Linked DNA regions of Xenopus tropicalis. The protein of the gene in region 4 interacts with the protein of the main gene of each other region in a pairwise test. Links are inferred from orthologs where the notes say so. Each region holds a gene or a part of one and is shown on either strand. Other genes may lie near its edges. The genes, in order: mxi1, plekhf2, mga, max, mxd4 and mxd3.

Evidence for each region.
Region 1: the proteins of max (region 4) and mxi1 interact in binary tests that used the Homo sapiens proteins (3 or more experiments, as listed by UniProt). The link is inferred for Xenopus tropicalis from reciprocal best matches to the Homo sapiens genes MAX and MXI1.
Region 2: the proteins of max (region 4) and plekhf2 interact in binary tests that used the Homo sapiens proteins (3 or more experiments, as listed by UniProt). The two-hybrid records come from large-scale screens. The link is inferred for Xenopus tropicalis from reciprocal best matches to the Homo sapiens genes MAX and PLEKHF2.
Region 3: the proteins of max (region 4) and mga interact in binary tests that used the Homo sapiens proteins (3 or more experiments, as listed by UniProt). The link is inferred for Xenopus tropicalis from reciprocal best matches to the Homo sapiens genes MAX and MGA.
Region 5: the proteins of max (region 4) and mxd4 interact in a two-hybrid assay, tested with the Homo sapiens proteins (2 studies listed by BioGRID). The link is inferred for Xenopus tropicalis from reciprocal best matches to the Homo sapiens genes MAX and MXD4.
Region 6: the proteins of max (region 4) and mxd3 interact in a two-hybrid assay, tested with the Homo sapiens proteins (4 studies listed by BioGRID). The link is inferred for Xenopus tropicalis from reciprocal best matches to the Homo sapiens genes MAX and MXD3.

Annotation. Positions count from the first base shown.
Region 1 is NC_030683.2:2,931,885-2,936,591, reverse strand, and holds part of mxi1 (max-interacting protein 1), read left to right. Parts: intron 1-535; exon of another isoform or gene 536-563; coding exon of another isoform or gene 564-696; intron 697-2,954; coding exon 2,955-3,066; intron 3,067-4,707. UniProt on the Homo sapiens protein: Transcriptional repressor. MXI1 binds with MAX to form a sequence-specific DNA-binding protein complex which recognizes the core sequence 5'-CAC[GA]TG-3'. MXI1 thus antagonizes MYC transcriptional activity by competing for MAX.
Region 2 is NC_030682.2:130,454,116-130,459,386, forward strand, and holds the start of plekhf2 (pleckstrin homology domain-containing family F member 2), read right to left. Parts: upstream 3,708-5,271; 5' UTR 3,506-3,707; intron 1-3,505. UniProt on the Homo sapiens protein: May play a role in early endosome fusion upstream of RAB5, hence regulating receptor trafficking and fluid-phase transport. Enhances cellular sensitivity to TNF-induced apoptosis.
Region 3 is NC_030684.2:105,153,926-105,158,632, forward strand, and holds part of mga (MAX gene-associated protein), read right to left. Parts: coding exon 4,691-4,707; intron 4,208-4,690; coding exon 4,076-4,207; intron 3,927-4,075; coding exon 3,298-3,926; intron 1,350-3,297; coding exon 800-1,349; intron 454-799; coding exon 245-453; intron 1-244. UniProt on the Homo sapiens protein: Functions as a dual-specificity transcription factor, regulating the expression of both MAX-network and T-box family target genes. Functions as a repressor or an activator.
Region 4 is NC_030684.2:119,934,463-119,939,800, forward strand, and holds the start of max (protein max), read left to right. Parts: upstream 1-2,212; 5' UTR 2,213-2,354; coding exon 2,355-2,390; intron 2,391-5,338. UniProt on the Homo sapiens protein: Transcription regulator. Forms a sequence-specific DNA-binding protein complex with MYC or MAD which recognizes the core sequence 5'-CAC[GA]TG-3'. The MYC:MAX complex is a transcriptional activator, whereas the MAD:MAX complex is a repressor.
Region 5 is NC_030677.2:21,431,683-21,436,267, forward strand, and holds the end of mxd4 (max dimerization protein 4), read right to left. Parts: intron 4,146-4,585; coding exon 4,031-4,145; intron 3,732-4,030; coding exon 3,572-3,731; intron 1,399-3,571; coding exon 1,256-1,398; 3' UTR 1,197-1,255; downstream 1-1,196. UniProt on the Homo sapiens protein: Transcriptional repressor. Binds with MAX to form a sequence-specific DNA-binding protein complex which recognizes the core sequence 5'-CAC[GA]TG-3'.
Region 6 is NC_030679.2:46,161,908-46,167,290, reverse strand, and holds the start of mxd3 (max dimerization protein 3), read right to left. Parts: upstream 3,185-5,383; 5' UTR 3,159-3,184; intron 3,108-3,158; exon of another isoform or gene 2,406-3,107; intron 1,720-2,405; 5' UTR 1,583-1,719; coding exon 1,513-1,582; intron 18-1,512; coding exon of another isoform or gene 1-17. UniProt on the Homo sapiens protein: Transcriptional repressor. Binds with MAX to form a sequence-specific DNA-binding protein complex which recognizes the core sequence 5'-CAC[GA]TG-3'.

The DNA.
Region 1 (4,707 bases), on a different chromosome or scaffold from region 4:
AGTCTATTCATTTGCCCCACTCCTGTCCCTAAACTGCCCCAGCCCCCATGTTTTGTCTATTCATTTGCCCCCACTCCTGCCCCTAAACTGCCCCTACCCCCCATGTTTAGTCTATTCATTTGCCCCCACTCCTGTCCCTAAACTGCCCCTACCCCCCCATGTTTAGTCTATTCATTTGCCCCCACTCCTGTCCCTAAACTGCCCCTACCCCCCATGTTTTGTCTATTCATTTGCCCCCACTCCTGCCCCTAAACTGCCCCAGCCCCCCATGTTCTCTCTATCCAACGGAGAGGGTTAATAGGTGACGGCATTGCAGACTTGGGGCAGAAAGACTACATTTCCCAGCAGCACTTGCGGCTCAGAAGTCCGTCCCTTTCTCTCCGCAGCGAGATGGTAAACACAGTGCGAGTCAGTGCAGCCCGGGAGCCTGAGAGGCAACTGCCCCCCGAGTTCTGCCCCCCCCCCCCCACCAACTGCCCCCCAGCCTGCCCCCCCCCCGGGCTCATGTTCCTTTGCATTCCGGGCTCTCAGTACCCGACTCCCCATTTATTCTATATATATATATGAGAGAGAGTTGGGGGTACCTGTGGGGGTATTTCGGGGTGCCCCTGCCCCGGTGCATTATGGACTGTGTCCGGATGCTGAATGTGCAGCGCTTGCTGGAGGCGGCCGAATACCTGGAGAGAAGGGAGAGAGGTAAATGGGCTGGGAATGTCCCCCTTGTGTTTCCGTAGCTGGTACAGAATTACAGGGGCTGCTGGGTAACTGAGGAAACTCCTCCTTGTCCGTAAGCCTCTGTACCTGCATGGGAATTAACCCTGTGAGTGCCAGAGGGCCCAGGCTGGGAATGTGACTGCCCAGTGGGGGGGGGGGGGGGGAAATATTCCATAAAATATAACATTTGCATTGCTAATATGTATTTGGGGGGGGTAACAATGGGGGCCATACATGGCTCTGTGTGACTAATGAACATGAGTGGGGAGTTGGGCAGAATTGACACACACACAGGGGCAAATTGAGGGAACTTGTACCCCCCCCATTGTATGATTGTATTCAACTTGATTTGTGTAATTAATTCCCCCATTATAATTAGGGCTAGCGGGGGATGGGGGGGTACCCTTTCCACTAACTGCCCCCGGGGGGAGAGCAGGAGGTTTGTTTGGAAACATGGCGCCCCCCCATGTGGATTATGCAGTGCGGATTTATGGGATGAGCTCATCTCCCCCCGCAAACCCCCCCCCCAGTGAGAAATGGTTTGGCCTCAGTGTAATAATGAGTTAACTTGTCGGTCGTTACTTCCTGCCACAAATAAAATGTTATTCTGGATATTTGGAGGGGGGGGGGTTTGCATTATTTATGGGCTGAGAGACCCCCCCAGCAATCGGATTCATGTCCCTAATTGCACTGAGCTTTAACTGCCCCCAGTTTATTTGTGATGGAGAAAGACTGTATTAATAAAGGGTAAATATACCCAATTACTGAATGTCTCTAGTACTAGGATACAGCTTATTGTGTGCCCAGAACATTCCTTCTCTGTATATTTGTATTTATACATATGGGTAGGAGGTGCCATAGTGTTTCCCTTAGACAGTACAGTATGGGGGTACAGCTTATTGTGTGCCCAGAGCATTCCTTCTCTGTATATTTGTATTTATACATATGGGTAGGGGGTGCCATAGTGTTTCCCTTAGACAGTACAGTATGGGGGTACAGCTTATTGTGTGCCCAGAACATTCCTTCTCTGTATATTTGTATTTATACATATGGGTAGGGGTGCCATAGTGTTTCCCTTAGACAGTACAGTATGGGGGTACAGCTTATTGTGTGCCCAGAACATTCCTTCTCTGTATATTTGTATTTATACATATGGGTAGGAGGTGCCATAGTGTTTCCCTTAGACAGTACAGTATGGGGGTACAGCTTATTGTGTGCCCAGAACATTCCCTCTCTGTATATTTGTATTTATACATATGGGTAGGAGGTGCCATAGTGTTTCCCTTAGACAGTACAGTATGGGGGTACAGCTTATTGTGTGCCCAGAACATTCCTTCTCTGTATATTTGTATTTATACATATGGGTAGGGGGTGCCATAGTGTTTCCCTTAGACAGTACAGTATGGGGGTACAGCTTATTGTGTGCCCAGAACATTCCTTCTCTGTATATTTGTATTTATACATATGGGTAGGGGGTGCCATAGTGTTTCCCTTAGACAGTACAGTATGGGGGTACAGCTTATTGTGTGCCCAGAACATTCCTTCTCTGTATATTTGTATTTATACATATGGGTAGGGGGTGCCATAGTGTTTCCCTTAGACAGTACAGTATGGGGGTACAGCTTATTGTGTGCCCAGAACATTCCTTCTCTGTATATTTGTATTTATACATATGGGTAGGGGGTGCCATAGTGTTTCCCTTAGACAGTACAGTATGGGGGTACAGCTTATTGTGTGCCCAGAACATTCCCTCTCTGTATATTTGTATTTATACATATGGGTAGGGGGTGTCATAGTGTTTCCCTTAGACAGTACAGTATGGGGGTACAGCTTATTGTGTGCCCAGAACATTCCCTCTCTGTATATTTGTATTTATACATATGGGTAGGGGGTGCCATAGTGTTTCCCTTAGACAGTACAGTATGGGGTACAGCTTATTGTGTGCCCAGAACATTCCCTCTCTGTATATTTGTATTTATACATATGGGTAGGGGGTGCCATAGTGTTTCCCTTAGACAGTACAGTATGGGGGTACAGCTTATTGTGTGCCCAGAACATTCCTTCTCTGTATATTTGTATTTAAACATATGGGTAGGAGGTGCCATAGTGTTTCCCTTAGACAGTACAGTATGGGGGTACAGCTTATTGTGTGCCCAGAACATTCCTTCTCTGTATATTTGTATTTATACATATGGGTGGGAGGAGCCAGGCCCTGGGCTGACATGTTGGTGCCGTTGCAGAGTGTGAGCATGGCTATGCCTCGACCTTCCCGTCTCCGGAGAGTTTGGACCCACAGGGATTAAAACAGAGAAGGATCAAGTCAAAGAGATGCAGTGGCCTCGGCATTAGCAGGTAGGTACCTACCCACTCACAGTTACACCACACAAACCAAGAAGTGGTTCCTATAAATAACCAGGGTTTAGCAGCCCAGTTCTGACCCAAAGATTCAGTATCACACAACTTTATAGCAGCAGCCACAACATTTCCAGGAACCATTAAGGGCTCTGCACTGCTGGTTCTGACTCCTGATACAACTCCCCAATATCCATTCATCCCTCATTCTCACTGGGTTTATAGTTATGTGTAACTGTCACTGTGTCTGTCCCTTTCCCTTCCCTGCACTGCTGGTTCTGACTCCTGATACAACTCCCCAATATCCATTCATTCCTCATTCTCACTGGGTTTATAGTTATGTGTAACTGTCACTGTGTCTGTCCCTTTCCCTTCCCTGCACTGCTGGTTCTGACTCCTGATACAACTCCCCAATATCCATTCATTCCTCATTCTCACTGGGTTTATAGTTATGTGTAACTGTCACTGTGTCTGTCCCTTTCCCTTCCCTGCACTGCTGGTTCTGACTCCTGATACAACTCCCCAATACCCATTCATCCCTCATTCTCACTGGGTTTATAGTTATGTGTAACTGTCACTGTGTCTGTCCCTTTCCCTTCCCTGCACTGCTGGTTCTGACTCCTGATACAACTCCCCAATACCCATTCATTCCTCATTCTCACTGGGTTTATAGTTATGTGTAACTGTCACTGTGTCTGTCCCTTTCCCTTCCCTGCACTGCTGGTTCTGACTCCTGATACAACTCCCCAATATCCATTCATTCCTCATTCTCACTGGGTTTATAGTTATGTGTAACTGTCACTGTGTCTGTCCCTTTCCCTTCCCTGCACTGCTGGTTCTGACTCCTGATACAACTCCCCAATATCCATTCATCCCTCATTCTCACTGGGTTTATAGTTATGTGTAACTGTCACTGTGTCTGTCCCTTTCCCTTCCCTGCACTGCTGGTTCTGACTCCTGATACAACTCCCCAATATCCATTCATTCCTCATTCTCACTGGGTTTATAGTTATGTGTAACTGTCACTGTGTCTGTCCCTTTCCCTTCCCTGCACTGCTGGTTCTGACTCCTGATACAACTCCCCAATACCCATTCATTCCTCATTCTCACTGGGTTTATAGTTATGTGTAACTGTCACTGTGTCTGTCCCTTTCCCTTCCCTGCACTGCTGGTTCTGACTCCTGATACAACTCCCCAATACCCATTCATCCCTCATTCTCACTGGGTTTATAGTTATGTGTAACTGTCACTGTGTCTGTCCCTTTCCCTTCCCTGCACTGCTGGTTCTGACTCCTGATACAACTCCCCAATACCCATTCATCCCTCATTCTCACTGGGTTTATAGTTATGTGTAACTGTCACTGTGTCTGTCCCTTTCCCTTCCCTGCACTGCTGGTTCTGACTCCTGATACAACTCCCCAATACCCATTCATTCCTCATTCTCACTGGGTTTATAGTTATGTGTAACTGTCACTGTGTCTGTCCCTTTCCCTTCCCTGCACTGCTGGTTCTGACTCCTGATACAACTCCCCAATACCCATTCATTCCTCATTCTCACTGGGTTTATAGTTATGTGTAACTGTCACTGTGTCTGTCCCTTTCCCTTCCCTGCACTGCTGGTTCTGACTCCCCAATACCGTT
Region 2 (5,271 bases), on a different chromosome or scaffold from region 4:
TTGCGAGTGACTGAAATGCTCGGTGGGTCCTTAGTCATAGTCATAAGGTGGTCAAAGACGGGCCAATTCTAGCTGCCGTTATTGGTCCCTTAGACCGATTCGCCAGCTTATCGGACCATGTACGGGCACTAACGACAGGCCTGCCCAACTGACATCTGGCAAGAAATCGGGCAGATCTAGATCAGGGAGGTTTGAAAATTAGTCGGATCAGGGACCACATCGGCTCGTTGATGTGGTCCCCGCAGTCCCTGAACCGACGAACGCCTATACCCATTGTTCTAATTCTATTGTTTGGCCCCAGGGATATTGGGAGAAGATCCGCTTGCTTGGCGACCTTGCCAAGCGTGTATGGCCACCTTTAGACTTACAGACTTGTTAAGAAGAATGACAGAACTGTGCAAGACATTGTGGGGATTAGAGTACCGGCTGGATGAGAGCTGAATACTGTTACATTTATATACAAAAAACTTTAAAATCAACTAAACATTTCCAATGGATGCATATTGTAAAGTTGCTTAGATTTTTATTTATTAGGCCTTTTTGGGGGAGGGGGATTCTCCATTAAGTTAATAATTCCGCCATACACAATACTGTATAAACCAAACCACTGAGATCTAACAGGGGATCCAAATAATAAAATATTAAGCCTATGACACAGTGCGTTACAAAAAATAATATGCCCCATTTAAAATATATAGGATATAACATTCATTTGCAACAATGGGAAATGCTGCACCTGTGGGGTAACCCAGGCAACCAGGTATTTACTTTTAGCTCTTTCAATTGTCTGTTCAAACCTATTTGCATCAGCGCAGTAATTCTTTAGGAAAGCAGTGTTCCTAATCTGGCCCCTGAGTATCGTACTCCAGCTGTTTGCAAATGACATTTCCCAGCATGCTCTGACAGCCGGTCCTAGCAGAGATAATAGTTATGCATTTAATGATTCATTTTCAGGGGTGTTTTTGTTCTGAACTCTGCATACTTGTGTTTATTCGCTTTATTGCTAAACAGGCACTAGGTAAACACTACACAGAAGGCTGAAACATCATCTCTTTTGAAGACTGAACAAAGCAGTGGTGCTGTGCATTCTAAGAAACTGTGCAAAAATAGAGGGTAAGGAATTATGCCCTTGTGTTCCTGAACCAGTTAACACTACTCAATGAGCCTCTGGTGTATGAAATGAAATAGCCTCCTGCCAAGAAACTGTACAGCACAATAAACACTCTGCTGAATGAACTGCAAAGGGGAAGTCAAACCAATCTAGCTAAGAAAATCAAAGGCTGTTGGGGGGAGTTTAAAGCTTTTAATGTGTGGGTAACAGGTCCCCTTTAAGTTCAACAACTGGAATAAAGTTGCAGCTACAGGTTACCAGCACACAGGCTGCCACAATCAGACCAAAAACTGTGGAGTTCAAGGCTCCCCTACCCATTTTTTCTATAAGGGAACCCTAAAGCGCAAGTAGCAGTTACAGGAAGTCCTCAGAAATACATTTTTTCCTGTGTGTAGGGATAGAGTGTCATCCCCGCCCAAGGAAGACACAACTGCAACAGCAGCAATCTACCGCTCTTTCCAATAAGAAGTTGAGGCAAAATTATTGGTTGGGGAAAATCACCGGTGACATGCAAATTCCTAAACCCTTATAGGCTGGGACACAGAAGTACACCACACCTCCCATACATATGAAATGTCAAAGGGGAAAGGATTATTGCAACATAGAAAAGCTATATCATTTATTTATGATCATAGGAGTTACCATCAAAGTTATGTTTTATTAATCAGAATTTTCATGCAAATTATTCTGACCCTGTATGCACAAGTGTTTTGGAGATCTGGAGTTTCATAATCATACACCCACCAGTGTCAGTAACCTGAAGAAGCTCCACAGAAAAGGGTGGGCAGTGAGCAGCTTTACCAACAGGTCAGGCACAGCCCCTTCTGCTGCTCTCTCTCCCCCTTTCTAAACCTACAACCTCCTTCTCCCTAAGGGTGAAGACACACTGGGCTTTTAGTAGCAGCTACTTTTTCAATGCTACTAAATGCCAGAAAATACCCTGCCATAGACAATACTGAAAATTGGCTCTGCTAAAACACACGTAGAGACAATTATCAGTAAATGATCAGCATTGTCTATTTTTTTAGCCATGACAAGTAGCTGCTACTAGTAGCTCTGCCCTCAGCTCTGGAGAGGAAACTTCTGCGATTTCGGGGAAATCGCGGCACCGCATATGCCATCCCACCGGCGATTTACATACTTGCCGGTGGGATGGTATTTCGGGGAGATTAGTCGCCCGCGACAAGGGAGATTCGTCGGGGGCAACTAGTCTCCCCGTCTGCCACAGCCCTAAGGGTCATGACACACAGGGAGATTAGTCGCACCCAGGGGCGGGCCAAGATGACCGGGCGCCCTAGGCAACCCGGTCGGCTACCTCGCCCCCCGTGTGCTTTCGCGCATGCGCAGTCGAGGGGGGCGGGGTTTGTGACGCGATAGATCATTGCCCCCACTGCATGATAAGCGGCGGGGCAATCACTAAGAGAGCAGACTAGGGGTAGGCAGGAGGGGTTCCTGCCTGGAGGATGTAGGTCCCTGCCCCGTAGAGCTTACAATCTATATGGGAGGGTAACTTACAGACACAAATAGGCAAATATAAGTGCTGTAAGCCACTTGTAAGCCATAGCAACCAACCAGCAGGCAGAATTCACTGGTCACCTGTTTAAAATGCAAACATGCTATTGGTTGCTGTGGGCAGACTATGTGCTTAATACCTTTATATGGTCACACAATTGCTGACGGATAGCGTCATACTTTACAATAAGGGGTACATTATGCCTGATACCTATGAGATATTTACTCTGCAAACTGAGAAACCATAAACAGCACTGAAACCAAGTGTGTCCCTTTGTCATGGAATAACTGGGCTTCTCATGGCAGGTCAGTTCCCCATTGGCTGCGCCGCTGCATAGCGATGACTCAGGGCAGTAAAAGCCAAATGGATTTTTTTAAACATTAGGCCTATTTAAAAAAAAAAAAATGCTAAGTAAAAGTGGCCTGGAGGTAACAGCAGTGAATTTAGTTTCTACAACAGGTAGGAATTGTTTCCTCTCCTCAAGTGCTGAACATTTCTACTGCCTGTACCCCTGCTGGCTTCCCAGGTGGCCTAGGACATGATAGATAGATAGATAGATGATGATAGGTAGATAGATAGATGGTTAGAATGAATAGATGAGAGATAGTGGAAACTAAAATAATAGGTATGTGTTTCTGCCATGCTTTGCCAGTTATAAAAGCCTGAAATCGTGGCAGGTACCAAGCTCGGTGCAAAGTGCCACTAGTAATAATATAATGAGCTGCCAACTGTGTCTCTCACTGACTGACAACATGGCCGCGGGAAAAGCTCGGAGGGAAAGTTTCCGCTCACCCCACAAACACTGACAGGAATGAGGGTGAGGGTTATGGGACAAACCATCTAACGCCGCTGGGGGGGGGGTGAGTGCGTTACGAACTTACCGAAGTGAAGGAAGTGATTACTACACCGAGAGCTAAGCTTTGCGATTCTCCTGTGCCTTCCCGGTAAGTTCTCCTGCGGCGGCGGCGGCGGCTCACACGGACTCCTGACACGGCGCAAAATAACGCGCGGCCTCCCCTGCGCCGCTCATCGGGGATTTAGGAAGTATCGGTAGCGTTAAAAATAATAAATAAAAGGAACGGGCAGCATAAACTCCTGAGAGACAGGGCGGACACTCCTCTCATCACGTGAAAAGGGCGAGCTCCGCCCCTCGGCGTTGGCTGGCTGGGGCGGCAGGGCATGTGGGGATTTGGGGCAGGGACCTTCAACCTGCGCTGCCGCTGCTGCAACTGCTGCTGGAGTAGTGTAGTACTGTAATGTACTGTAATGTAGTAGTGTAATGTATTAGTGTGGCAGCTGCTGGCTTTGTAGCGGCGCCGAGCTGCGTTCTACCCATAACGCAGTATTAAAACAAAACAAACCTCTGGCTTTAAACATAAACTTGTGGCTTCATACATGTCTGTGTAACGGGGAAATGGTTTATTTTATTTGTGAGGGAGGGGCAAACGCCATGTTGGAGGTGGCAAACTTTGTTTTCGAGTGCATTACGTACCAAAATACATTGAAGTGAGTTAGAATGCATTTTAAACATATATGCACTTATTTAATCGACAAGTTTATGTGCATGTATGTATTTGGCAGAAATGGCGTCTGATAGTGGGGGCGCAGATCGTCCCTCCTAAAGAGATGTGGATGCCGTGTACAAAAGCCCAAAACATAGGGGGAGATTTACTAATCCACGAAGGCGTCCGAATGCGTTTTTTTCGTAATGATCTGTATTTTTGCAACTTTTTCGTCGCTGTCACAACTGTTTTGTATGTTCTGCGACTTTTTCGCCGCCGTCGTGAAAAAATCGGATTGGTTTTTTAGCCGTTTACAATCGCTTAATAAGAAAAAATTGCGATGGCGATGAAATAGTCGCGCAAAATACGATAAAGTCGCGGCAGCAACTAAAAAGTCGTGACAAATACGAAAAAATTGCGACAGCGACGAAAAAGTCGCAAAATTTTTGTTTCCAATGCGATTTTGTCCCTTTCGGGATTTGCATTCGTGAATTAGTAAATCTCCCCCTTAATGTTCAACATTTCTGCCCTACTTCTTTAGTTAGGCTTTAGTTCTCCTTGAAGATAGCAGCTGCCATTTTAGCTTGGTCTTCATAGCTTCCTGCTGCAGCTCTAGCTGTTTCTAGCTCATCACACATTCTGATGGGAGGGGGGAGTGAGGTTTAAGAATTCTTACGCGAGTTAGGAGAAGGGAGAGAGCTGCGCAGACTCTGGCTCCCAGAATGAAGGATTTTTCTGAGAGAGGAAGTCCCAAAAAGGAGACAAGAAATCCTGTGTTTCTTTAGATAGAGGGCTCAGTGCAGCGTTTCTGTGAGTGCTTATGGCTGTATTTACATAAACCTTTCTGATAAAGCTTACTTTTTTAACCTCCTTTAACACTCACTTTTGCTTCCAGCTAAAGATAATATGATGTAAATGAACCTTGGCAAGGGCATAACGTCATGGCCCCAGGCCCCCAGCAAAACTCTGTCTGTTTCATGTGCACCCAATAAAGTGCACCCTTTGAATGACCCACGACTGGCCTCTTCCCAGCCTCCTATGTTTACCAGGCTGCCCGGCAGTTAAGATGTCTACTTCCCTTATTTCGGCCATAGAGAACATGTTCGCTGATTCATAATATATGTACTACATTGTTCTGGTTTATT
Region 3 (4,707 bases), about 15 Mb from region 4:
AACCAACTGAAGTTTGATTATCTAAAATAACTGCATTAATAAACCAACCATTTGTTGCTGTGCAACTGTACAACCTGGTGTCCTTTATATTTCACTACCTTTATTTTTTCTGAGGCAAAACTTTTTGATCAATATACAATGAATCATATTTTATGAGAAAAATAAAAACCCATAAATGTAACTTTCGGTATCTAGTTCATGTACATAACCGTAACGGTCTGGACTGGTAAAGCATCGTACTTACCATATGGTGCGAGGATCCTCCACAAGCTTTACTCGTGCCAGGGGGTGTGTGTTTTTCGGACTGCAGCTGTTCAGTTTGTGGCATTCGGACTTTGCATTCCTCCAACTCAGACTGTTTTGGAATACATATTGGCTCGGGATCTGCATCATCTTCCCATATCTTCCAAATTGGAAACTGTTCTAGAGGCAAAGGGTAAATATTCTGCTGGCCTGTAAGAAAAATATGCAATAACTAAAGCATGATTTGCTGAACAAACAATGCTCTAAACACATAAGAGAACCATAATAATAAATATAAAAAACAATAAATCGTACCTTACTAACATCATATATTCCCTACAAAAAAATGAACAAAAAATTGAAATGGATTGTACACAATGTTTTTAAATTAAATGTGTTGTGTGCTGATTCACCTGACCAAACATTCTCAAATATTAAACAATGTGCATGACACGGATATGTAAGTCCCTGCAAGGAATATACTGATCAACTCCAATTATAACAGAGAGGGAAACTCTAACAGTAATTAGTTAAAAACAGCAAAAATGTCACTCACTGCTCTCTGCAGAGTTGCTTTTGAGTCTTTTTTTGGCTTGTTCCCTGGTTCTTAGAACCTCTTCAGAATCTCTTGTTGAAAGGGAATAAGGGTTTTCTTGATTGGCTGTTTGTTCCATGCAGTCTGCTGAACTGTCAATGTCTATTCCATTATTTTCTGAAAGCTGTTCCATGCACTCTGCTAAGTTTCTGATGTTGGACACATCTTTTTCTAGAAGGTGTTTTGTGCACTGCATTGAGCTTTTGATATCTATCCCAACCTTTTCCAGAGGCTGTTCCATGCATTCTGTTGAGCTTTTCATACAGAAACACTCTTTTTCTGTAAGTTTCTCTGTGCACTCCATTTTGATATCAATTTTATCTTTTTCTAGAAGCTGTTTTTCTTGTATGCATGAACATTCAAGCATGCAGTCAGCATGGCGGCAGTGAGCAAAATTGTGCTCCTTATTATTAAGACTCTGGCACACACAACCCAGCCGGCAGAACAATTTGTTGCATGGAGAAATTTGTTTCCGAACAACTTTGTGAATTGGTTTGTTTTTAAGAGAAGCCTAAAAAAAAAAAAAAAAAAAAGACAAGAATTTTTAATTTATTGGAAAACTTGGTAGTTTATAAATCCTTAGCAATAAGTTTGCAATGGTTACCACTAGGCACGTGCTTCCTTAAGAACCTACTACAGGAAGCCGAAGATTATAGTCTTGTTATTTGTTTGAAATGCTACATGCCAAAGATGGTTCCCCAAATGTTAAGGAACTCCCAACATGCAATAACATTTGACTAAAGTTGTAGTCCAGCAACATCTGGGGCCTGCGGTTAAGAAACAGTATCAAAGACAAAGGGTAACTAAGTAGTTTGGGGGGTACTGCAAGAGCTCACCAATAGACTGGCTTCAATAAAAGCTATTACAATGAGCTATGATTCCCTCCAATGTATCCATTAGTTTTTAACTGTTGGCATTTTGCTCATGTGTACACTACACAAAAGGCAAATACATGCATAAAAACGATTTTATTGAGATTCCTGACACGTATAAACCTACAGACATAACACATAATAGCCTAATGTAAAACATACATTTAGGTTATTTTCCCTATGATATCTTTTACTTTAACAAAAAAAATTCAGAAAACCTTATACACTTTACATCTGTAAGCAAAAATCTTTTGGTCATCCATGTACCAGGCCAAACTAAGTTGATCCAGTTGTTTGTCTCCAGACCAAACTGCATAGGCCCAGAGCAAATTAAAATGTGGGCCTATGCAAACAGACTGGGAGGGAAAGTCATCAACGTGCTGATGCAGAATTCATTCAAATTATTTTAGAAATCTACCTGGTCGATATTCAACCATTTATTGGTTGGACAGGGCCTATACAAGGGCCACTATACAGCTGAATGAGTCTGGAGGGCTGGACAACTTATATCAGCACTGTTGGATAGCTCTAGATCATTAAAGGGGAAGGAAAGGCTAATAAAGAGTTAATCTCAAGCTGCAGGCATACTTTCAGCTCTCTCAATAGTGCCCTTAAGTCTCCCCATATTTCTCCCATTCAGAGATCAGAAGCCATATAGGAAAAAAAAAAAAAAAGCTGAGTTCTGTAAAGAAAATTCTCATAATGCCATGCTCCGGCACCAAGACCAGTGTACATGCTCAGTTTGTAAGACTATGAGAAAGCTTCCTGCTGATTGGGTCAGATCACACATTCCTAAAAGGGGGGGGGGGGGGTAGGGAGTTCTTAGCATTCTTGAGGGTGGAAGAGAGGACAGAGCTACATGTCTCTGGCACAGGAAAACAAAGACAAAAAATCCTGTTTAATTTAAAAGAGAACTCAGTGCAGCATTTCTGTGAGAGCTTATGGCTGTATTTACATAGACCTTTCTGATAAAGCTTACTTAGTTTTTACCTTTCCTTCTCCTTTAAGAATGGTAACAGGGTAATTCTGGGGAGTGAATGATTTATTGTCCAACCCTATTGGCACTGGGGCGTGCATCTAGCCTCCTGAAGCACTTAATTGACCTTTAGGCATTACATCATTTTTTAAATAAAAAAATAAGGAGACATTGTTTGTACATCTGACAAATACTTTATATAAACAAATAATACTATATTAGTGTATTTAGGGTATCTCCATTTGTTCTCTCCAGTTTAGGGTTTAGGAGAAAGTAGATATATCTGTTATTATTGTAACTGGATACACAAAGATGGCAGTTCCAAGTACAGGTATGGGACCCGTTATCCAGAATGCTCGGGACCAAGAGTATTCCGGATAAGGGGTCTTTCTGTAATGTGGCTCTGTAATTCTGAGCTTTCTGGATAATGGGTTTCCGGATAACAGATCCCATACCTGTACAGTTATATTTGGGAGCAGTAACAGTCAATAGTCCGTTACATGTATATACAAATAGATAGCTCTCATCTTAGAAGCTCTCAGGTTACCTATCTAAAAAATTCTTTTATAGCCAGGAACCATGATAAAAAGTACAATTAATAGGCAAATTACCTGTGCAGTGAGGAGGACAACTAAACATGTATCTGCACGCTCCTCTGTAATGTAAGTGCGTGATTTTCCTTTCCAGAGGGTATTTTCCTCCATATCCAAAAGTTTCATGTGAGACTTGGAAAATCCAAAAGGTCGTAATTGGGGTTGCTGATTTGGCAGCTGGACTTGCCTTATACTAGGCAACAAGGTCTCTTCTATGGATGGTACAAGGCTGGGTATCCCTGGAATGACCTGATCCGATTCCTGAGAAGGCTTAATAGAGGTCATACCAGTTTCAGAAGCAACAGGATTGTCTCTTATATTCTCAAACTCCAAGGATTGTTTTCCCTTTGCTTTTATTTTTGGTGTTGAAGCTTTGCATGGTGTCTTGGTTCGTTTTCTTTTTGCATGGGGTTTTGATGCTTTTGAGGAAGGTGATGGCAGAGAAATTAGCTTCTTTAGCACAGTATGAATGGTCTTTACAGAACTTGTACTTACAGCCGGAAGCTGGCTAATAGCTGATGGCTCTGGCTCATTTTGTGTAATGCCACCAGAAGTCTCCATTAATCTGGCCTCATTCTCAAGATATTCGTCTAATTCATCACTACAGAAAGCTGAGCGATTTTTCAAAGAGCTGTCAGGGCTCTTACCTATAAAATACGAGAAGCATGGCTAATGTTACTATTTATTAAAGAGGCTGTATACCCTCTTTTCAACATGAATTCACTGAATAGGGAATTAGCCATTTTTGCCTAATGTTTCACAAAAATCAAATCAATATAATAGATGGCATACATACCACTGATCACTGGTTTTGAACTATGATTATTAGAAGAGGATGGCATGGAATTTGAGAATTTATCCTTCCAGCCTTTTATCTTTGTGTAATCCATTGTTTTGCCAGTTCTGGAAACAAATGGAGATCTAGAAGCTAAAATAAAATAAGCAAAATAACTTGAATTATGTGATTTAGGCAAGTCTTATACATATACCTACAAGCATGATATAGCAATACAGAATATTTCAAGCAAAGAGAGATGAGATAATGTTTCCTTTTCAGTCTTGTAAGTATCTGCAAGTATCTTCAGATGTTCAAAAAGAATAAAATATTAGGAGTCTGGCTATAAGATGTTCTGAGTTTTGTGAATCAAAAAAATGTCTTACCTAAAAGACAAGGTTTACGTTAGAAAAAAAACTATGATTTTCAGTGATTGTTCTATAAACATATGGAAAAATGTATATTCTGTCTATGTAATACAATATAAAAGATATATAAAGGACCTATTTGCACTTATTGCACACAATTGCATGGTATTAATATAATCTTTATACATTCCTCATGTAGAAGAAAAAAGTGTAATATATCTAATTAATCCCAGGAAAGTTCAAAAACAGTTTCATATTAGTAATTCACCTTGAGCACATGATTCA
Region 4 (5,338 bases):
TCCTTGGGCCGGGTTGGAGCTGCAGAGTGCCATTGAGCCCTATGGGAGACTTTCCTTGGGCCGGGTTGGAGCTGCAGAGTGCCATTGAGCCCTATGGGAGACTTTCCTTGGGCCGGGTTGGAGCTGCAGAGTGCCATTGAGCCCTATGGGAGACTTTCCTTGGGCCGGGTTGGAGCTGCAGAGTGCCATTGAGCCCTATGGGAGACTTTCCTTGGGCCGGGTTGGAGCTGCAGAGTGCCATTGAGCCCTATGGGAGACTTTCCTTGGGCCGGGTTGGAGCTGCAGAGTGCCATTGAGCCCTATGGGAGACTTTCCTTGGGCCAGGTTGGAGCTGCAGAGTGCCATTGAGCCCTATGGGAGACTTTCCTTGGGCCAGGTTGGAGCTGCAGAGTGCCATTGAGCCCTATGGGAGACTTTCCTTGGGCCAGGTTGGAGCTGCAGAGTGCAATTGATTCCTATGGGAGGCTTCCAAAATCATGCACAGAAGGATCAAAGTCAGAAAGGTTTTCCCGCCGTTTACGATCGTTCGGATACGAAAATTTCATGGCTTTCGGATCGCCAATACAATATTATCATGACTAATACGTTTTTTTCATAAGCATTTTCGTGATATTTGCGATCATCAGAAATTATCGTGTTTAATCCGAATTTTTCCCATTTCGGGATTCAAACTCGTACTTTGATGAATAGGCCCCATAGAGTGAGTGTAGGTGAGACGCACAAGTTATTGTGGGTTCCCCAATAAGAGCGGTTATTGGATATTTTTTGGACAGTTGTGGAGTACCAGCCTGTGTTTACACTGTAACCCCTCAATCTGCCAGATATCAGCTGAATAATACACAAGGGGCCTGTACGTTTGTATAACTTTATAAAGCGCTACAGGAATGTGGAGAGATGTACATGTATGGGATCTGTTATCCAGAATGCTCGGGACCTTGGGTCTTCCGGATAAGGGATCTTTCCGTAGTTTGGATCTCCATGCTTTACGTTTACTAAAATGTCATTTAAACATGAAATAAATCCATTAGGATTGTTTTCCATCCAAAAGGATTAATTATATCTTAGTTGGGATCAAGTACAGGTACTGTTTTATTATTACAGAGAAAAGGGAATCATTTAACCATTAAATAAACCCAATAGGGCTGTTCTGCCCCCAATAAGGGGTAATTATATCTTAGTTGGGATCAAGTACAGGTACTGTTTTATTATTACAGAGAAAAGGGAATCATTTCTAAAAATTAGAATCATTTGTTTAAAATGGAATCTATGGGAGATGGCCTTTCCGTAATTCGGAACTTTCTGGATAACAGGTTTCCAGAAAATGGATCCAATACCTGTACAATCATATAACAGTACACACGGGGAAGGCACATATTATAAAAAACATAACAAATAAGTATATATACACAGAGATTAAGCACCATTTGGTATGAGGCACAGTAGGAAAGCCTGTAGAGCTTACAATCTAAGCTTGTAAAGGGTAGTATTTTTTTTTTTTTGCTTTATTCAGCTATTTCACACAATACAGTAGGCACCACGCAGGGCTTTTCTATACTCTATATCTGCCGAGCTGACAACAGGTGCACGAAAAGGTTGCTATGGCATCTGCTTCGTTAGCAACACGCTTGGTGTCGGTATCTTTTTGTTAGAAATGGCATAAAACGTCATTTCCCATCATATAATTTCTGCCCCCGGAACAACCAAACTGTAGATGTGATATACATAAATACGCTTACGACTTGAGATACACCCCTAAACGATATAATATCAGTTTGTATTAGTCCAAAGCGGATGAAGATGAAAAGCCCCACTACTTCCCTAAGCCTCTCTCCCATCTCCCCCGCAGGCCCTTCCCTTGTCACTACACAACAAGCCCGTAGCCGCCACAGCAGCCCAGTCACACAAACACAAACTCGCCCAGCTTCCCGTCTATACACGTGTCTCCAGCCCACTTCCGGGAAGCCGCTACCTGTGTAGACTACAAATCCCATCAGCGGCCTGGAACGTCGCGCCTGCGCAGTAAAGCTTGTTTGCTCCCAAGGCTATAAGGGAGTTGTAGTCAATTTCCGTGTTTAGGCGCATAAGCTGGCAGAGCGCTTCCGGCCCTAGTGAACTCCATTTCCCAGCATGCAGCGGGCCGGCTCTCTGAGAGGCTAGAGCTCTGGCTAATGATCCCTAGCAGTGTGGAGTCACGTGTGGCTTCCGTTGGTGTGTTTTCCTGGGCACAGAGAGGGTCTCTTCCCCCCCTCTCTCCCTCCCTTAATTCGGATTTTATTTTTTTTTTCTTTTTGCCCATAGTGTTTGTTTTCAGGCCCGAGCAGCCTCTCCCCTCCTTCCCATCACTATAGGAAAGCATGAGCGATAACGATGACATCGAGGTGGAAAGCGACGTGAGTGCGGGTTCCGCTTCCCTTTAACTTGGCTTTATATGGGGTGGGGGCGGGGGTGGCTGTGTTGTCCCTTGGAGAGGGGGCAACTGTCTGTTTAGCAGGGATCACCGCTTTTGGTTCTAGCTGTAACAGGAACAGTGTTTCCTATTCTGTGTGTGCCTAGGTCCTGCTGCACTACAAATCCCAGCATCCTCAGCAATACGGAGAAGGTTTTCGGGTAGGGCAGAGAGAGGGCATTTGTCCTGGGCTTCCAGTATCTCAGGGCATCTTGTTTTATTTGTTAGGACTCTGTATCCCTCCTGCACTGTATGTAGTATAACTTGTAGCATCCACCGGCCCTCCAGCTGCTCTGCAATCCTTAGCATCTCCCCTGGCAGGGATGGGAGGGCTGCAGCCCAACAGCTGGAGGGTCCTTAAATCAATATCCCCATTATGATATTATTATATACTAGGACCCCAGCATTCCTTCAGTGCCCAGGGTACCTTCATCAGTCTGGGGTTTATTGTTATTTATATAGCACTGAAGTATCCCATCATTCATATCAGCCTGGCACCAGTGGAGCTTACTATCTAAGGTCCCTATCACATTCACCAACACATAGGGGCCGATACATTAAATTACAAATTAAGAGTATAATTGGCGACAATTCGCATTAAATACAAAAATTTCTAATGTGCGTTAATTTTGCGAAGAGTCGCGTTGTACTTGTGCGAAAATATCGTGGTACGATGCAAAAGTTACGAAATTTTCGTATCCGTACGATCGTAAACGGCTCAAAAACCTTTCTGACTTTGACCCTTCAGTGGAGGATTTTGGAAGTCTCCCATAGGACTCAATGGCACTCTGCAGCTCCAACCTGGCCCAAGGAAAGTCTCCCATAGGGCTCAATGGCACTCTGCAGCTCCAACCCGGCCCAAGGAAAGTCTCCCATAGGGCTCAATGGCACTCTGCAGCTCCAACCTGGCCCAAGGAAAGTCTCCCATAGGGCTCAATGGCACTCTGCAGCTCCAACCCGGCCCAAGGCAAGTCTCCCATAGGGCTCAATGGCACCCTGCAGCTCCAACCTGGCCCAAGGAAAGTCTCCCATAGGCCTCAGTGGCACTCTGCAGCTCCAACCCGGCCCAAGGAAAGTCTCCCATAGGGCTCAATGGCACTCTGCAGCTCCAACCTGGCCCAAGGAAAGTCTCCCATAGGGCTCAATGGCACTCTGCAGCTCCAACCCGGCCCAAGGAAAGTCTCCCATAGGGCTCAATGGCACTCTGCAGCTCCAACCTGGCCCAAGGAAAGTCTCCCATAGGGCTCAATGGCACTCTGCAGCTCCAACCCGACCCAAGGAAAGTCTCCCATAGGGCTCAATGGCACTCTGCAGCTCCAACCTGGCCCAAGGAAAGTCACGATATTGAAGCTTGAATGAATAATGAAACTTTTGTACTCGTTGCGACAAATACGATTTTGTCGTGCAAATTGTTGGAAAGTACGAAAAAGTTGCGAAAAAAACGCACAGTTCTAAAACAATTTTTTTTGTATTCACACTCAATTGTACTTTGATGAATGTGCCCCTTAGTGTAAACATCGCATACACACCAGGCAGCCCCAGTAGATGTGTAATGATACCTGCTCTGTATGGTGGGCATGGGACTCTGGGACTAGTGCCTTTATTACTGACCTGTTTTCTATGTTGTTGGTACCTATCCAACAATAACTGCAGGGTGGTAAGATAGACACCTCGGTGAAGGGCAACAAACGTGTATGCATACCCTATTATTTTGGAAGGGTAACAGCCAGAGGTTATACTATGAACAGGTGTCTGTATATATTTCTGTTGGCCAGACTCATGGGGGGGGCGGGCGGAGCTTCATCATTTCTCCACTGGTTGTTTGGTGTCCCAGTGAGACAGGCTTGCTTGTTTGTTGTCCATTTTTTTCTATATTACCCTTGATATTAAATATTTTGGAGAGGATCAGATTGTAGGAAATGGTGATGTTAGGCATAGTTGTTCATATTACATAGTTACATAGGGTTGAAAAAAGACCATTGTCCATCAAGTTCAACCCTTCCAAGTAAACCCAGCACACACAACCTATACTTACCAATCTATACACTCACATACATAAACTATAGATACAATCATTAATACTAACTGTAGATATTAGTGTCACAATAGTGTTTGATACTATGCTTGTTCAAGAACTCATCCAGGCCCCTCTTATAGGCATTAACAGAATCTGCCATTACAACATCACTAGGAAGGGCATTCCCCAACCTCACTGCCCTCACTGTGAAAAACCCCCTACGCTGCTTCAAATGGAAGCTCCGTTCCTCTAATCTAAAGCGGGGGCCTCTGGTGCGTTGATTGTTTTTATGGGAAAAAAAGAACATCCCCTATCTGCCTATAATCCCCTCTAATGTACTTGTACAGAGTAATCATGTCCCCTTTAAGAAGGACCACATCCAGGCAGTAGGCTGTCCTGGAATACTAGTAGTGTTCATGGCTTTGTACTATTAGGGCTCTGGCACACGGGGAGATTAGTCGCCCGTGACAAATCTCCCTGTTCATGGGCGACTAATCTCCCTGAAATGCCATCCCACTGGCAAAAATGTAAATCGCCGGTGGGATGGCATACGCGGCGCCGCGTTTTCCCTGAAATCGCGGAAGTTGCCTTGAGAGGAACTGCCGGTTTGATGGCATTTCGGGGAGATTTGTCACCGGCAACTAATCTACCCGTGTGCCAGGGCCCTTAGAGTTGCTGGTAATGTATCCAGAATTTGGTTCTTAGTTTCATTGTTGAGGACTGGGCTAATGTATAAGCGTGTTGGTAACATAGATATGGATGATAAATCCGGAAGCTAGTTATTAACTAAAAACTGACATTGCCTAATCCATTATTCTCCTTGGGTAATTTCTGACCCATTCTGTTTTTATTAATAATATTTACACAATGCCTTG
Region 5 (4,585 bases), on a different chromosome or scaffold from region 4:
TGCACGATTAAAGCTCCATTAAAGGTACCTCCACCTGTCCAGGTATAAAGCTGAATTTAAGTGGACATCATCTCCAAACATGAAATGCACATTCTTTTCCCTTGACCGTCAATGCACAGCAAATGGATGCATCTCTGGTCGCTCAACAGTGGATGGACAATAATTTGAATGGAACAGAATAATATCCCATAAAGTCTCAGAGCAAACACCTTTTTTTTTTTTTACAGTAAAGAGTCTGAAAAATAAAATCTCCTATCAAAGATCACCTTGACATACAAAAGTCATAGAAATTGGACTTCTCTCTTCCTCTCCGAATCCAAGTGCTTAAAATACTGACGCTACAAAATTCATTTACCTGTACTTCAAGAAAATGTAGATTTTTTTTATATAGATATATATATATATCTTTATATATTCTTACGTATAGCTATGAAATTTGACCAGCATTGTACAAATTCTTCTTCATTCTCAAAACTAAATGGTTCTCTGGTAATCAAAAATAATCCGACCTGCGCCTTTTCTCTGTTTCTGTGTAATACTATATAATGGAATGATATGATTGTAGAACAGGGCTTTGTTGAGCTTCTACTTTATATTTCGTTAATGTCCCCCCCCCCCCCCCCCATTACCTCACACCAAAACTCACGGCCCAAGTTAGAGAAGAGGGGAGGGGGCTCCAAGGCAACACTGAGAAGTTGGGGGCTAACAAACATTTTGGGGGCTGATATCCTTGATACATGTGCTGTTAATATCTTACAATGGGGCTCATTTACTTTATGACTGGGAAAAAATTACCTCACTGTAGGACTCACAGCAACCAAAATAACTTGCTTGGATCAGTCTGCTGAACACTGAATGCAAATATCTAATCTGGTTGCTATGGTTTACTGCACTTCGGCAACAGTGCCCAGTGTGGTAAAAGAGCTCCAGTATATATTCCACCCAAGGTCCCCCCCCTTCTCTCCTTGGCAAGTGCCCCTATGCTAAAACTTGGCCGTTCCACAATGTACTTTTTTTCTCCCCTGCAACATAGTGCCTTGTTGCAATCTGTAGTGGTGTGGTTACAATGCAAGGGGCCTCAGCACATAAAAGCTCCTTGTCGGGACTGAGCATGTTCAGCCCTTGCCAAATGGCAGTTGACATATCAGTAACTTTCTTTTTTGAAATTCTTTTTTTTTTTAAGTTTTTTTTCCTTGTTTTCTCTTTATAAGTGCCTTCAGCTTGGTGGTCCTGAATTGGTCCAGTGTTCAGGCCACTATGAAAGTCTGGAATTGAGCCTCAGGGAATGTGTGTATCCACTACTGCTGGAGCCGCTTTGCAAACTGTAGTGGTCATCAACGTCACTGCCAATACTGTCTATTTCCCCTGGCGTGAACTCCATGCCTTCAATATCGACCTCTGAGGAGAGAGGAAATGGAGAGGTTCAGCCATAACATTTGCATGCATCGGTTGTAACATTTGTAAATATTAATTAGGTGTATAACTAAGATAATGATGTGAAATGTACGCTGAGAATGGGGACTGGCATGGCCTCAGAAAGGCTCACTGTGATCAGGGTCGGACTGGACCACCGGGACACCAGGAGAAATCCCAGTGGGCCCCGGCGGCCCAAACCCGACCCGACCCTTGCCAGCGCTCCCATTGTGTGACCGTTCCTCCCCTAATGCGTTAAAGTTATGTGCGCTCAGCGAGGATGCCGGGTTGGGGACCCTGCAGGATCCATGATGCAGGAGGCCCGGTGGGCCTTGCAACCCAAGTCCGACCCTGACTGTGATTGGCTAACTTGCTGCATGCAAATTATGATATACCAAGCTATCATTAAAGGGAACTAAAGCGCAACTAAAGAAGTAGGGCTTCTGGGCTTCTGTACCAGCCCAAGGCAACCATAGGCCTTTAGCAGGGAAGGTCTGTGCCCCCATAGATGCCCCAGTAGCCCCCCATCTTCTTTTCTGCTGATTCCCTGCCCATACTCTGTGCTGCTGTAACTTACCTGAGCTTAGGGGCCCACTCACTATATACTGTATATATACCGAGTATAAATGGCACACTATACTGTATATATAGAATATAAATGTCACACTATACTGTATATATAGAATATAAATGTCACACTATACTGTATATATAGAATATAAATGTCACACTATACTGTGTAGCAGGGAAGGTCTGTGCCCCCAAAGATGCCCCATTAGCCCCCCCCATCTTCTTTTCTGCTGATTCTCTGCCCATACTCTGTGCTGCTGTCACTTACCTGAGCTTAGAGACTCACTCACTATATACTGTATATATAAAATATAAATGTCACACTGTACTGTATATATAGAATATAAATGTCACACTATACTGTATATATAGAATATAAAGGTCACAATATACTGTATATATAAAATATAAATGTCACAATATACTGTATATATAGAATATAAATGTCACTATATACTGTATATATAGAATATAAATGTCACACTACACTGTATATATAGAATATAATGTCACACTACAGTATACTGTAAATATAGAATATAAATGTCACAATATTGTGACATTAGTAATTTATGTGGATTTACATTACATGGCAGCCCAGAAACCAGTGCAGTAAACAGAATTTAATAATCAGCCCTATAGCATCACTTTATATGACAGGCCAACCTCATACTCTGTAATAATTTCCTATGACCCCTAAGCTTAGCTTCTCAGCTGCTGCCCTGAGAACACCAACGGGGTTATGTAAAAAAGGAACCAAGTTTGCCCAAGTGCAGTAACCCATAGCAACCAATCAGCAGGTAGAATTTTCTGGTGACTTGTTTAAAAACACACATGTTGATGGGTCTATGAATAACTGCTCCTGTGTCCTGTATTACATATGGTGGTACGCATGAACCACCTACGGGTGGGCGATATCGGGAGAATCCCTGGGGCCAAACGATCAAATTATAATGGCGGGTATAGGAAAAATCGGTCCGGGAGCTGCATCAATAAGCCGATGCGGTCCCCGATCCGACTAGATTTTTTAACCTGCCCGATCGATATCTGGCAGATTTCAGGACAGGTATCAGTTGGGCAAGCCCGTCGGTAGGGCCCAATTAGCTGCCGAATCGGTCTAAGGGACCGATATCAGCAGCTAGAATCGCCCCGTGTATGGGGACCTTTAAGCAACAGAAACTGTCATCTTAGTATTTCTCAGTGACAAGTATTACTAGGGTAACGAACATGTTACTTAGCAGAAGGCCTTTCGTGATTATTACATAGCCGCACATCTGTGTGCTCTATTTTGAACCGCCGCTTCCCCTATGATTACAATGATGACTGAGTTCATCATCAATGTATTGCAATAAGCAGTAGGGTGCAGGCGTGTAGGGACCCTAGGGCAGGCAGTAAGGACAGGGCTCCCCTGTGCCCCCCGACGCTGCATTCTGTACCTAGTACCGGATTTTCAGTCCAGCTCCAGGTGCAGAGTGCATCATTCCCAGGGCGCAATCGCTTGTTAAATGAGTGTAGCCCAGTGTAGCCCAGCCATAATTAGAATTATATAGAGCCAAAATAGGCAAGGTGACCAATTATTCTCCATTACCTTGCTCCGAATCTGTGGATATAATGGAGCCCATGCTGTCAGTGCGCATTCGTTCCATCCCGTGCACGGAGAGCTGCTCTAAACGGCGCTTGAGGTAGCGATGTTCTCTCTGAAGCTGTTCTTTAACATTGAGAGCTTTTCTGTCCTGTTCTTCTAGTTTCTACCAGAATTACCAACAAAAAAAAAGACAGACTATGATAAGCAGCAGCAGCAGCATATATTGGCCATAGATGAATACCAAACAGATAGACGGGGAGTGGGGGAAATAACCGATTGACAGCTCCAGGTCTAGTAACCCATAGGAATCAATCATATGTTTGTTTTTAATTAGTAGATCAATAGATGCTAACTACCGATTGGTTGTTACTAAACCTAGAGGAAACTCAAATGAATTCCCCAGTTACATGTCCAAGCTAAATTACCCATCATTCTAGCTGAATGCGTGTCTAGCTAAAGTACCTTTATGTGCATTTTGGCTCTTTTCAGAAGGCTTAGAGTAGTATGTCTGTTGCTATCTGGCCCAAGAGGCACGAGTTGCTTTAGCTGCTCCAAATATAATCGTAATTTTGCTCGCCTAAAAAGAAAACAAGAAGAGAATGGTTGGTCAGCAGGGAGTGCAGAGCAACGTTTTCCTAGCCAATAAGATCTCTTGCTGATCGCATGACATAATCAACAGAACAGCATATTCACATAATGACGCAGCACCACTAATAGAGGCGTCAGATTTGGTGCATGGTCTGAAAAACCTGTCAATCAGAAGTGAAAGGATGTCACATGACTAAGTAAGCTGCTAGCCAAGCGACCAATTAGGACTGAATAAGTTCCCTGCCTTATGAGCCAAACTCTAGCACAATGGAACTGTAGGTTTTGTAGTTTGAACCATGGTTACAGCGCTTGGGTCCTGGGTACAATTCCAATACAATTCCAGCCAGGGGACTAATTGCAAGGAGTTTGTTATTCTCTTTACATAGTGGGCTTCCTCCCACACTCCCAATACAGGTTAATTGGCTCCGT
Region 6 (5,383 bases), on a different chromosome or scaffold from region 4:
AATCAATATTAGACAGTCTTAACGTTTGGAGAAAAAAACCAACAAAACGCATTTATATATTTAATACAAAAGCCATGCATAACCTGTCAATTAAATCCTTATAAATTGTGCTTAGTGATGTCATTTGACTCACTTAAACTTGTGTATTAATATAGAGTACCCCCCCTGGTCATAGGACATCACCTCAGTGACTTAAAATATCCTTAGATTTTATAATAGGGGTAATTTATTCAGTATATATTAGAGTTTTCAAGGACAGACAGCAACGAAGTAAAATGAAAATACCGATGGTCTTACACGGTAATAAACTTATTTGGCGAGATCTAATTCAGCCACCCACAACCCCATACAGTGGGGCCTATGGGGACCCGACGAATGAGGACTGCAGCACTGTGCCAATACATTCCTCGAGTCAAACCTGCCCAGTTTTTGGACAGATATTGGTTGGACAAGTTGGTCGGCCCCATACATTGTATGGGGCATTGTATTATCAGCCCATATTTGACCAGCTCACTATAGAAAATGAGAGGGGACAACAACAAAAAAAGTACATCTTATATTATAACATTCTTACACTAGTGCTACTACTTTTTAGTTGACAGGACAGGTAGCCCAACCATCAAGTGCAATCTTATTCAGTTTCATGAATTAATATAGCGTCAGGGTTTACAGTTTTAGGGTTTAGGTCAGAAATAGTGATTCATAATTTAGAGTGTTTGAGTGAGCATACACAGTAAGATCTGCTTTTGGGTCTCTGCCTAATGTGGCCACCCATCAGCAGAGTACCGCATCTCACACAATGGAATTTTCCCTGGTCAGAAACATTTCAAGTATGCCACCATTTTGGAGCCATACATAGCACAATAAGCTGCCCAATCGGTCTGGAGAGGCCAAGCAGTCAGCTTAAGTTGTCCTGTATACGGGGGCTGAAGCAGTGGCAGGAGGGCTTAACCTGAAAAACATGGCGAGATGTGAAATTTGGGGATAGTACTTATTTGCTCTCCTAGACATACCTGAACAAGGCTTATCAGTCAATTAGGATGGCATCTGTAGTGAAAACATAGTTTTGGTACTAGTTATTCTTGGAAATATGGCTAATATAACTATATATGTAAACATGTTACAAGCTAATGGGTACCTTCAACTGCAACTACTGCTCTAACATTTAAGGCACTGGTTAACCCATGCACATTGACAGGGATCCAACTTGTGACACTAGATTGTGTCACCTGACAGCTTTTGGGGGACTAGACCAGTGATCCCCAACCAGTGGCTCAGGAACAACATGTTGCTCACCAACCCCTTGGATGTTGCTCTCAGTGCCCCCAAACCAGGTAGTTATTTTTCAATTCCTGACTTGGTGGCAAGTTTAGGTTGAATAAAAACAAGATTTCCTACCAAATAAAGCCTCCTGTAAGTATTTTTACATTTGACTGTGTCTCATGAGTAAGAAAGGTTGGGGACCCCTGGACTAGACTACTACAAGGTGGAGAAAAATATATATAAACTCACCTCTTTCCCTTCGCTCCACATACTCAGCAGCTTGCAGAAGAACCTGCAGATTGCTGGGGAGCTGCTCCATTTTGGCAGGGGGAGATGCAGCAGTAGCCTCTCAAGAGATTCTTGATTTCGGCAAAGCTCCTTGGGCAGTCTCTTGCTTTGGACTCACTTCTCTGCTGCCTCTTAACCTTAGCAGTTCACAGCTTCCAATAGTTCCAACTGTCCAAGAAGAACCAATAATTATATGGTCAACTTTTCATTTGTCAGGAAAAAATATTACTTGAAAATATCCTTAAACTACTCTACTACATACACAAGTGGGATCAAATCACCCATTTTATTGGGCAAACATATAGAAAAAAATACAGTAAGAAGTAATACAGATTTGGCAACAAATTTTCTTCTTTTTAAAGTACAGGTATCCCTTATTCGGAAACCCATTATCCAGAAAGTTCCAAATTACGGAAGGCCCATCTCCCATAGACTCCATTTTAATCAAATAATTCACATTTTTGAAAATGGTTCCCTTTTCTCTGTAATAATAAAACAGTACCTTGTACTTGATCCCAACTAAGATATAATTAATCCTTATTCGAGCCAAAACAATCCTACTGGGTTCAAACAATTTTCTTAGTAGACTTACGGTAGGAGATCTGAAATACGTAAAGACCCCTTATCAGGAAAACCCCAGGTCCTTAGCATTCTGGATAATGGGTTCCATGCCTGTACATGTCCCCAGTTAAAGGGGTGATCTGGTCAGAATGTGTGAAAAGCCCCCCAGCAATTGTTCTGTGGCCGTGATCTCTAATTCACCTGCACTGCTACTAGAATTGTGTGACTAATATCTTGGCTGAATAAAACCATGTATAAATGTACAAGTAAGGAGGAAGAAATGAATAAGATACCTTGGCAATTCCAGCAGCTGCAGGACTGTCAGTAGCAGAGGCAGGAGGGATGCTGGAAAGCGCAGTCCCAGCCAGTTCAGTTACAAACTAGTTCCTCCCCCCACACAGAACAAATTCTATTTATATGGGCCGTGATCCTCCCATGTCCCCTAGTGTAGCATTATCAGCCGATCGCCTCCATATTTGCTCTATGCAAGGCCCGAGGAGTAAGAAAAGAGAGGCCCCTGGCAGCGCAGGGAGCTGGGCCCTGTCCCATAAATCTGTGCTGCCCAAGCTGCACATCCTACTGAAATTCAATAGCCCACAATCGCAGCAACAGAGTTGCAGGAGGGCTGGGGATCTGCAGGTTGCCTGTATTTCCTAAACAGATCGACCAACTATTACTTAGTATTACACGTATTTTATACTTTTAATCGTCAAGGAGACCGAGGGTACAGGGCGAAACCCTCTGCTGTAGGCTGGCTCCTTAAGGCCTCCCACCTCTCAAGACTTGTTATTGTTATGATCGGATTTCCCCACCCTACAAGGGATCTCTCCAGCTCATCCGCCCTCCTCACCTGATCCCTTCCAATATGTGCCCACAGCATAGGCCGTCCTCCGAGTCGGGATCTCTAGCTGTCACACAGCGGAACCAACACCGGAAGAAGCAACGTAGCTGATACCTACCGAGCGACGGCAGAACGAGTGCAACTGCCTGCGGGCCCGCCCACCTTGCCCCGCCCTAGGTCACATATTTCCCTCAGCTACACTTACCGCCGCTATTATTACTTGAGCTCCAACTCTCGGCCCTTTGCTTGTCCCTGCCGCTACTCCAGGATGTCGCTGGCACAATGAGATTGGGACGTTTTCAGCCGCTTACCGGAGACCACGGTTACCATGGAGCTTCCTGAAACGGGCGGAGCTTCCTGTGCGAGTTTTTCTATTGGATACTGAGAGAGGGGGGCGCGGCGTTGTTTAGAAGCGTCATGTTTTATGGCAACAGTTTCAGGCGGGAAAGTCAAGCACCTTTCAAAATTTCAAACACAAAAAGCAGCGGAATACATGTAAAACTGAGACAAAATGGTGGGAGAAGGAAGGCGGGATAGAGTGGGATACACTGAGCTACTCAAAGTAGTTCCTCGAAACATTTTATTCTTGAGAGCCCCTAAGGTTCCAGGGCGTATTTACAGTGCTAACTAATAAGTATAATAGAGCTCATTGCTAAACGACTAAGTGGGTCAAGTTATTAACGTGAAGCCTTTGTAACTACAGAAACATAGACATTTGTCGTTCTACCTGCAACTGCAGAGATGTGTCAATGCTTTCTGTGTTAGGGTCTTTGTCTCCCATAGTCAGACATTGGGGTGTAATGGGACTTAAATGAGGGGCATGGCCAAAGTGTGCTACAAAATTACTCCACAAATGTCCAATTATTTTCTTATTACCCCTGCTCCCTCCTTTTGAGGTGGCACAGGATGGAGGACAAAGTGCTCAAATGCAGGACTGGACACCATCACATAGGTTTATTTATAGATTTTAGGATCCCAAACTTGAACAGTCTCGTTGGCAGTAAGCATAATGTCCCACGGAGAGCTTAGTCACCTACGCTAAATCTCTGCTGCCGCAGGCGACTAATCTTTTCAAAAAACCTTTCCACCGGCAAAAAAAGGAATCAACAGTGGAAAGGCCTGCAGGAGGAAACTTCACACGATTTTGGAAAGCCAAAGGCATTTCGGATTGATTAGACGGCCCCTGTAGCAGAGATCTCTTGCCGGAGACTAATTGCTCTGCTGGACAATCTAACAGGCTTAGATGGCCAATAGGGCGGTGCGTCAGCTTCCTAGCCAATGGTTCTTTGGTTTGTTCGCAAAAGCAAACACTATCTCATATAGCTTTAAAATTGCTAAGCTTTGGCAGTGATGAAATGCCTTTGTTGTGTTCTTTCAATCAACATGGAAAATACATTAGTACAGTGCTGTCCAATGAATAAGTCATTCAGTTTATTGGGGGTCAGTGGAGTTTACCCTAAGTTTAACCCTTTCCCACCTTTTCACATAAACTACTTAACTCTGTAAGTTTAGAGGCCCAATGATTGATTGCTGTGGGGCCCAATTAATATAATATAAAGTATATAATAATTACTGTGTTAATAAGCCAGTATTTTAATTGGGGGGTCAGTGAAGTTTATACTTCAGTTTCGTAATTTTCTGTTAAGGTAAGATACGTTTTTGCACAAGCTACATAAATTGCATTAGCGTAGGGACCCAGTGATGTTGCTGTGCAGCCCAATAACCAGTCATTCCCCTACTGAAACTTCATGTAGAAGACACTAATAAAATTCAGTAAATAGCTCCTAAAACAAAAAGCTGACATTACTCTATAATAAGCAGTTCATATAAATAGTTAAAATCAATTATTAATGTGCCAATAAGTCAGTCTGTTAATTGGGAGGAAAGTAGAATTTACTTCTAAGTTGTTGAATTCATTGGTGGTGAGTGGAGTTTGCCCCTGTTTGCCCCTTCTCTGCATTGTATTTTGCAAGTTACTTAAGTTGCCAGGCAAGTTAGGTCAGTTTCTTAAGTTTCCAGGCAACATTTGTGGAAGTTAAGTAAATTGTGTAAGTTTCAACCTAACCTTATGCATAACTTTTGTGACGCATCCGGGCCCCATTCCGAAGCAGATTTTCACGGGAACAACAGTACCCCCTCTCCCTCCCTGATGGCGGCCCTGAGTCTCCTCTCCATTTATTGTCAGCTCTGCTCATTGATTGCTAGCTCTGTCCGTGTTTGCCAGTCATTTTTCGAATCCACCCCAATTAGTCACTCAATATAACAGCCTTCTACATACACATTTAACCCATATAGTGGACACATTGACCTTTAGGTCAGTTCCAACTGGGAACGCCACATAAATGCCTGTTTGCTTCTGGTTAAATGTATAAAAAATTGATGTTAGGTGTTGACATTTTATAGAAGGAAACCTATATATATTTACATACA